Linked DNA regions of Daphnia pulex. The protein of the gene in region 2 purifies or fractionates together with the protein of the main gene of each other region. This does not show direct contact. Links are inferred from orthologs where the notes say so. Each region holds a gene or a part of one and is shown on either strand. Other genes may lie near its edges. The genes, in order: merlin-like and protein kibra-like.

Evidence for each region.
Region 1: the proteins of protein kibra-like (region 2) and merlin-like purify together in Drosophila melanogaster (affinity purification with western blotting; 3 studies listed by BioGRID). This does not show direct contact. The link is inferred for Daphnia pulex from reciprocal best matches to the Drosophila melanogaster genes kibra and Mer.

What each region holds. Positions count from the first base shown.
Region 1 is NC_060022.1:2,539,657-2,544,228, forward strand, and holds the start of merlin-like, read right to left. Parts: upstream 2,916-4,572; 5' UTR 2,696-2,915; coding exon 2,609-2,695; intron 2,546-2,608; coding exon 2,416-2,545; intron 2,350-2,415; coding exon 2,144-2,349; intron 2,089-2,143; coding exon 1,964-2,088; intron 1,897-1,963; coding exon 1,794-1,896; intron 1,699-1,793; coding exon 1,489-1,698; intron 1,423-1,488; coding exon 1,316-1,422; intron 1,243-1,315; coding exon 1,113-1,242; intron 1,043-1,112; coding exon 911-1,042; intron 848-910; coding exon 596-847; intron 536-595; coding exon 219-535; intron 157-218; coding exon 1-156. Other genes in the region: N-acetylglucosaminyl-phosphatidylinositol de-N-acetylase-like, read right to left, coding at 3,471-3,578, 3,651-3,781, 3,857-3,953, 4,019-4,118, 4,196-4,289, 4,437-4,546. UniProt on the Drosophila melanogaster protein: Regulator of the Hippo/SWH (Sav/Wts/Hpo) signaling pathway, a signaling pathway that plays a pivotal role in organ size control and tumor suppression by restricting proliferation and promoting apoptosis.
Region 2 is NC_060020.1:3,560,789-3,565,248, reverse strand, and holds the start of protein kibra-like, read right to left. Parts: upstream 3,057-4,460; 5' UTR 2,585-3,056; coding exon 2,460-2,584; intron 2,004-2,459; coding exon 1,894-2,003; intron 1,815-1,893; coding exon 1,611-1,814; intron 1,473-1,610; coding exon 1,313-1,472; intron 1,234-1,312; coding exon 977-1,233; intron 901-976; coding exon 407-900; intron 344-406; coding exon 46-343; intron 1-45. UniProt on the Drosophila melanogaster protein: Regulator of the Hippo/SWH (Sav/Wts/Hpo) signaling pathway, a signaling pathway that plays a pivotal role in organ size control and tumor suppression by restricting proliferation and promoting apoptosis.

The DNA.
Region 1 (4,572 bases), on a different chromosome or scaffold from region 2:
TTGAGAGTTGAGTATTTGTCGTCCCCTGAACGGAGTTGCTCTTCGTGTAGCTGATCGTAAAGCGTTTGTTTTTCACCTACTTTCAAGACTTCAATCTCTGTACGCAATTCTCTCAGTTGCTCCTGCAGTTGCTTCGATTTTTCCAAGTATTCGACTCTAAATTTATTTTAAAAAATGAGCAAACAATTACGCAACAATTCCTACGATAGATTTACAACCTCTCTTTCTCAATTTCAAGTGAGAGTTGCTCCATATCGCCATGTGTCATAAGGTCATAGTTGGATGAAGAGTTGACCAGTTCGGAAGCAGCAATAGCTGATAGATATCCACTACTACTTAAGCCAGTTAAGTTGGTGAGGCCAGTAAGCTGATTAGCCAGCGGAATAGGAAGGCGGGCCTCATAAGCCGGCAAACTTGCTTCGTTAGAGACATCGTCGAGTCGTCGTAAATGTTGCTGAATGTCCGACTGATGATGTAAATGGTGGTCTGATCCAGCTACCGACGAACTTGATGTCGGAAACAAGTTGGGAACAGACTGAAAAATGGTAATTGTAGTTATTCGCTCATTAAAATGTTGACAGAAACTGCAAAGTACCAGGACAGACGCGGACGACGGGATGCGTGTAATTGGACGAGATGCCGAGTGTAAGGCTGCAACACTAGCTTGTGTTGTTAAAAACTCTAGTAGCTTCTTTTTGGCTTGAGTTTCAGCGTAACGGGCCTGCAAAAGGTCACCTTTTAGCTGCTCTGCTTCTGCTGCACAACGCTCAGAATTCTCTAATAACCTTGAGGCAATTTGCTTCGCCTCATGTAATTGTCTCTGAGACAAAAGTTTTTCCTCTTCGGTCTAGACGCAAAAAGACAATTAAATGTAAAGCTACCTAAATAAGTTATGAAAAAATTCACTTACTTTCATGGCAGATAAACGAATTCTTTGCAACTCTTGTTCAGCGTCTGAGGCTTTTTGAGTTAACAACATTGACTCTTCTTCTGCAACTCGCGCCTTTTCGGCCAGCAGCTCAGCCGACTCTTCGGAACGCCTCTACAAAATTGGTATAATGAAATACTGTACTTGATACTAAAACTAAAAATTAAACTGAAGAATATCATACCAACTGTTCGTTCGCTACACGGAATTCTTCCTGAAAGTGAATTAACTGTTGTTCTAGGGCTGCTTTTTCACGTTCAGCTGTTTCGCGTAGTTGCTTCTCTCGTGCAAGCTTATTTCTTTCACTCTGTCGTCTGAAAAACGGTAAAGTAACCACAATAAGAACTCAACAATGAATAAGACAAAACTTGTCAAGGTCAAATTTACCTGAGTTTCTCTTCTTTAGCCTGAGCCTTCATTTGCTGAACTTCAATTGAATCCGGTTTCCTCCGACGCATAAAGAGATCATGATTTCCAATACACAAATCTAAGATCTAGACATAAAAATGCGGAAATAAAATTCGCTATCCTTTTTCATTTATGTAAAAATCATGGATTACCAATTTGTTGACTCGATGCTTATCCGAATAGAAAATAAAAGGGGGTGCAGTTTTGTCGACTGGTTTAATGGCAAACTTTTTGTCGTCATAGCTGATGTTTTGGATCTCTGACCAGGGAAAGTTAATGCGCGGTACGGATTTGTTATCCTGCTCGTAAATATTCAGACCGAGGGCCGTAACACCAAGCCACAACTCGGAATCCCTTTTATTCTGTTCAAATAGAATAATAAGTTGTAGATTAAAACAAGTTAACAATATGCAAGATATACACGCATTTTAGTTTTAGCTAGGGTTTCTAAACTCACTTTTATAGGAAAATAGTTAACGCCATACATTTCTAAATCCTGTACGATTCTCAAGTACTCCATTTCAGCCTCATCACGACTGAGACCTTTATGATCCGCGTACCTATATAACATAAAGTAAAGTCTTAAGTCTATAAAACGGTTAAAATGGAAATGATGATCCTTATTACCAAATTTTTATTCTTTCTTCCCACATTTCAGCTGTCATTTGATACTGATCAAGAACTCTCTTAGGCAGTAAGTCTTCTGTACCAAGGAGACCAGGTTTCATGGCTGCCTCATCATAATCACCATACTAATGGGAAGGAAAAATTAATTGTGGAAAATCACCCAAGATATAATAATATTACCTTGGCTTGCAAAGCATATGAAGCAAGCAAGACTGATATTTCAGGAGGACAGTATATATCCATGTTGAGTATACTCTGCTTTACTTGCAAGAAAAACAAATGTTGAGTTATTTCTTGAACCAGCTCTTCAGCCACATTCTCGGGATAAAACTTAGCCAAAAATACAAAAGGCACAGGAGTTGTTTTGGGCACATCTTGGTCCTGAACTATAGATATTATGGCCATACAAACAGTTATTAGGTGAATGACACATAATAAGCATTAACACTCACCTTTTCTATCCATTTTCAACCACGCCAGAAATCCTTTGCAGTCTTCATACTGTAACCCAAAATACCAGGTCTCCCTTAATCCAATAGTTCGACACACTAGATCAAATAAATCTCTTCCATTTGCTTTGCACTACAAGAGTTATAATTGTCAGTTTTTTACATGAACATGATTATGTGAATAAATAATACAAACCTCTAGGTTGAATTCAAGTTGTGCGTCTAGGGTAAGAATTTTTACTGGAAAACATTTTGACGATTTGTGCTTCCGGCGGAAATTCATTTTAGCACACCGAGACCTAAACTTAATCAAACAAATCTAATGCAAAAACTTATAAAACTTAGAAAACGTCTTCATTTTGATTCATTCCATTTGTAGAATCAACACAGAATTAACAAATACTGTTCTTTCAGCTGATACAAAACAACGGAAAATGAACAAAAACAGGCTTGATTGCAGACGATGGGATTTTCCATCTATTGACTATTGCCACAGTGCACAGCCATCTGGACCCTGGCGGGACAACATGAAACTACTGGCGGGAAATCGTTTTTTTTTCTTCAGTTTTATAAAAAGAAACATTTCATGTCTGGTCGTCACAAAATTACAGCGTAAATGTCATGCTTTAGAAAATAGTTGAATACATGTATAGTAGGAGTATGACGAATTTCAAAATTGTATTATTGTTCACTGCATTTTCATTCAAATAAAAATAATACATTACGTGCACTGTTGACTTCAACCACTAACATCTGATAACATCAATATTTTAAATTTTGTTTAGTAAATGCAATAAAGTTAAACACAGCAGCCACGTGTGAGAATTCATTAGGGAAAAAAAAACAAGAGCCAACATACCCTTTTTTGTTTATGTTACACACTCCAGAGAAAAGACTAGGTATTTTGTTAAGGGAATTATAAACATCCATAAAATTGAAGGGATCAAAAAAATCTGAGTAAATTTACCCGTGTCCAAAATGCATCGAATCGATAGGATTTAAATTTTCCAACCACCGCACTTCCAGGTGCATATCTGAGACAACAAGCAGTAGCTAAGCTAGTAAATTTCAAGGGGAATGAATGTGTTAAAGAATAAGTATCTTGAAAAAATGATGTACAAACGGCGAAACCAAACATATTGACTAGCATGAGCTGCCATTGCTCTCTAAACGTGAACACATAATTAATTTATTTAGCAAAAGTCTTAATTGACATTATTAACTGTTTAAAAAAATACCTGAATGTTCATCCTATTAACCCAATCGGCAGTACAGATTAATGCACTAGGTTTGATTAAAATCGAATCAATAAATCCCAAATATTTTCGAAACAAACTGACCGTTTCCAAAATGAAAACTCGGACAGTAACTGTTGGAAAAATTAAAGACGATCTTTTAAATATCAATACATTTAATTATGCACACTATAATATAGTTTAAATACCTCTTTTTTTGCTTTCTTTCTTTAATTGCAACACCCCCTGATAAATCGATTTATGATTTAGGTGGCCACTGATTCCATTCTCATCAAAAGTTATGAGCTATAAAAAATTGCATTAAATTGTATTGTTAGTTAAGCCTATTAATCTATTCCTGAAATACTTACACTGTCAATTTTCAATTTTTCAATGTAGATATTCAAAGTATCTGCAACTGATTTGAAATCCCACAAAGAATGTGGATCATCTTCAAAGAAAGGAGGTCCACTGTTCACAGATAATGTAGAAATTTAAGAAAATTTAAGAAATTTCAACAATTTATGAATGTTTGAATGAATTTTTACCTGTGAATTATAATATTGGAATCAGCTAGTCCAAGAATCTTGCAACTTTTTTTTAGTTCCTCTCTCCTTGTTTTACCTAAGCCATCAGCATTGCCTTGAAATAGTGAATTTCACACATTAGAAATATTGTTATAACGTTTGAATTTAAGCACAAGTAACGAACAGACAAGTATATGAGTCCAAAGAAAAAGCTATAGTTCATGTAAGCGTATAGTAATAGTGATATGTAGTATTGATTTACCATCACTCAAGCAAAGAATGTAAATATCCTTTGCTTTCTTTTTCCTGGACGAAGAATCACTTAATGATGGTTGGACTAGTGCTGTGATGGCAGGTCCAAAAAACATGCATCTATTATACATGCATTCATAAGTGCA
Region 2 (4,460 bases):
CCGATTAGAAGTAAAAACCAACAACGTTGAATCTCGGAAACTTGCCTGCTTGATCAAAATTGATGCAACTAAGCAAATTAGGTGGTGCAACCAAGTTAGCATAGATAGCTTCTTGTTCGGACGTTTGCATGGAAACTGAGTTGGAATTAATATTATTATTTTCTCGATTGGCAAGGAGTCGTTCTACGCGACGGTGTAAGTCGGCCATGTTTACAACTGGTGAGCCAGATAATCCGCTTTCTCCAGGTGTATTGGCATGACCAGGCAAGGCCGCATTAGCCATGGCAGAGTATTGTGGTGGTCCATAGATATCAGTAAACGATAACACAGATGATAAAGAGCCCTTGAAACAAAAAAGAAACCCATAAATTATATGAGATTCAAAATCAATTCATGAGATAAGTACCTTGGACGATGCATGGCTCCTAGATGAAGTCGAAAGAGATCCTAAACTCGAACTACTTGACATGCTTAATGTGCTGGCAGATAGTGAACGGAGCTGCCCTTCTAAAAGTGCTACGTTGCGCAAAGCTAATCTCATTGATTGCAACAAAATTTGTTTTTCTTCGTGGAGTTTAAGTCGATCGGCTATAGTTCGATTAGAAGCTTCTAACGCTTGGCTAAGATCTTTCTCAAGCCGTTGAATCTTGGTTCGAACCGTTTCCATCTCGGTTTTGGAGCGCGACCTTGGTGCGATGCTGCGCAGTTCCCGCAGCAGTTGTTCTTTCTCCTGAATGAGCAGAAGTCGGTCTTTATCAGATTCACTCTGACCAGGAGCGATTCTATCCTCGAGTTCTGCCATTTTCTGTTGCAAGTATTGCAAATGTTTTCTTGCTTCGTCGTACTGAAGACGAGTTCGGGCCATTTCAGCCAAGCGTGTTCCGATTGGAGCTGATTCGCCTGAAAAAATGACAAATTTAGCGTAAAACTGATGATTTCCATTATTGTTTTTTTTTCTCCCCTAAATTAATCCTACCTGATAAATCTGTTTGGGAGGCTGTGCTAAATTTCTCTTGTGGAAGGGATAACGTTGATAAATCTGGAGACATGTCGTTGTTCAGCGGCTTCAGTCGGGTTAAATCGTCGCGCAACCGTGACAACGAAGCCATTAATTCTGCTTTTTCTTTCTCGCCGCTTGATAGCGAGTGTTGAATGTTGCGCAATTCAGCCATCATGGCTTGTGCTTCTTGCAATGTGTAACCACAAGGCAAAGAAGACAATTTAGTCTCAGCTCTGTCAAGTAAAGAAAATGAAAAGATTAAGATAGGTTCTATGACAATTAAGATATTCTTCCTTTAAAGAGCTAACTTACTGTGAAAGCATGTCGATACCCCGTTGCTGATAGGCGAATTCAGCTCTGGCAACATCTAAATCCCGGCGTAACCGGGCAACTCTATTTTTAGCTAAAGCCACATCGGCTTTTAACAAATCCGGATCAAATTTAGTGCTTGACCCACTGCTTGTGGAATTCACTGTAAAAAAAAATTATTCCGGATATTTATTATATTTGTTAGACAAAGAGGATGGGGGTGGGGTGGCAATGAGATGTTCTAACTAAGAAATATCCCAGCGCCTGTGACGTTACATTATCGAAGAAGAATTTCACTTACATGATGTTCGCGAAGCATCAAGCCCTGTGTAGGCATGGCGAAGTAGATGAAACTCATCTTGTGCAATAGTTAATCTTTGTTGTTTAATATCCAAGATCTCTTTCTTGGCTTCAAGGTCTTCTTTGGCAGTTTGAAGATATTCTTTCAGCATGGCTTCTTGTATAGACCTCCATTCTAGCCGAGGGTCTTCTAACTGATTGGTCTCTGAATAGGCAATTTAAACAATTGTTTGTTTGCTAGGTCATGTAACTCTTGACTCTTTTTTCTTTTTTTTTTTACTTACGGGTTATGTGGTTTGTGTAAAAAGGTCCAACCTGAGAGTCATATGATTCTTCCCAACCTAAAGGTAATTCATTTCCAACACAGTCTGCAAATGTTTGCGGCTTTATTAACCTAAATAAATACCAAAAAAAATCCAATACTTGATTAACACTAGACTTTATAAATAATTAACTATTATTTTAATTGCATATTTCTTTGGAATCTAACACTAATTTTAAAACACTATTTTTTCTATTAGGATTCAGTTGAATTTTAAATCAACAGATACTTGGAATGTTTAATTTACAATATGGACGTATAGGAAGTATGCGCAGCCAAAACAAGGATATAGCAGTTCAGTTCAACATTTGTTTTGGGGACATTTCTCATTTTTTTTCATGCATTTCCCAAAAGCTATGGCTCAACTTCAAAATAGAAGAAAAATAATCCAAAAGTTCATTGGAATTATTGTGTGTGGACTTGACAGCCATGTTAGCATTCCACAATCGACAACAGGTCTCAGCATCATTTGAAGGATGGGCCCAAAGAGAATAATTCAAATTAATAGTATCTGAAATGTTAACAAACCTGTCTCGAGGATCAACCCAAGTTGTTTTCTTGCTGTTGTGATCAATAAAGTACACTTTGCCATCGTAATCTCGACCAAGCTCCCATCCTTGAGGCAAAGGGATCTCACCATTACGCTTGGACATGTCGATGGCAATATTTCCAACAAAAGTACAACAAAGAACAGAAGAAAAATCATTCACTAACACATTCACGGTATATTCGACGCTGTTTTTGCACTGAAATGTCGAATGTTAGATGCAGAATTCTGAGCTTGAGTCAGGACGTCGAGAGTTTCATTTTGTAGATAGCAGCGCCATTTTATTTGTGACGTCATTGGAATGCGACCCATTATCATAACACAACATTTTCCCCAACGGTTTTTAAGTTCGCATTACCATGAATTTGCAGGAAAACCCAGAAATTGACCACGGTGTCTCAACAAGATGATATCGTTGAACTATTTCCAACACTTTTTAGGAGTGAAAATCACTTCTAAATGTCCAAAAATTCCAAGTTATGCCGAAACACCAATTCGAGCGAAGCTAAAGGTGCATTCCAGCTAGGAATTCCTCCTTCAATGTTAGACTCGACAATTTCGAAGCCAATAGTGCCCTCCTCCTACGGAACAGCAGATGTCGTTGTTCTCAGTAATAAACTGGGAAAAACGCAGAATATTTTCCTAATAATAATGTACCAGTCGCCAAACATGAACTGAAATCCTCGTACCAAATGGCTCGTGCTTTGAAAATTAAAGCTCTTTGTTCTCTCTATCAGTTCTAATCTTTGGCGCTTTACACCGTAATTATTTCCTTAATTCAGCGGAGATGGATGCATTTCTTCTTCACACGACAAAATAGAATTTTAAAAAAATAAAGAAGTAAGACGGAATTCATAACGAATAATTTTCATTGGCATGTTCTTAAGTGTAGGTTGACAGCAATTTTACGAAGATACTCTGCACTATTAAAGCCAAATGGAAATGGGAAGAACGCTGTTCGGCAGAGACCTAGACAAAAACGTCTAGGAATGTGCACTATCAACTATTCCCCTGCCGCTACCGCCGAGCCAAAAACAAATTATTTTTCTCCGTTCATACGGAATTTGGTTCGGCTAGTCTAAGTTTAATTTGCTTTGATAAATTATTCGAGGAGCATTGCATTGGCTATGAACATTTTTCAAATATTTTTTCAGTTACCTGTATAAAACTGATTATGAAATCCAATACAACAATGCGATAACTAGAGGTTGTTACGATTGGATCAACTTTATTTAAATATCAAGCACATTCGTAACACCAACTTGGCACAACGTATTTTCGAATTTTGTTTGTTTTTCGAGTCTGGAAGATAACAGGAAAAACCTCTATGTATGACATTGACATGCTCATCCCTTATCACGAGCAAATTAGTAAATTCTAAAATTACAGCTCACTCTTATAATCAGTGCAGCATATAAAATTTACTTTATACCTATTAACTTCGACTTTCGCCCCATTGTTAGTGATCAGAGACATAAATTTTTTCTCAGATGAATACAAACTGCAACAAAATATGATATAACCTTGAATAAAAAAGAGATAAGCCATGGGCCGTGGCTTTCCTCGAAGTCTAATAATGGCTCCGAATTAAAATTTTTTATGAGCGCAAAGCAGGAATTTGTGGGTTCGGCAGGCATTCTAGGCATGTGGTCGATATTTTAACCATGTTTATATGAGCTAGTAATTAATAAGTTGCAGAACCACCTAGCCTCAATGAGTACCGAGTTGAGTGTTCTCTCGTATTCTGCCACCGAAAACAGAAAATTCATTCTCCCATCCGAAAGAATGAGGCCATTGCGCAGCTCGGGATGAGAAAGAAAAACATGGCAATGATGCTTTCACCGATAACTTGATGTACAAGGCCGATTCTTTCTTTGGACAAGAGCCAATCATCTTTCAGTAACCATCTATGCCCACATAGCGGTAGGGAAAAGAACTCATCAATCAAATAGAACTCAATTAACGAAGATGGTGATGTTTTC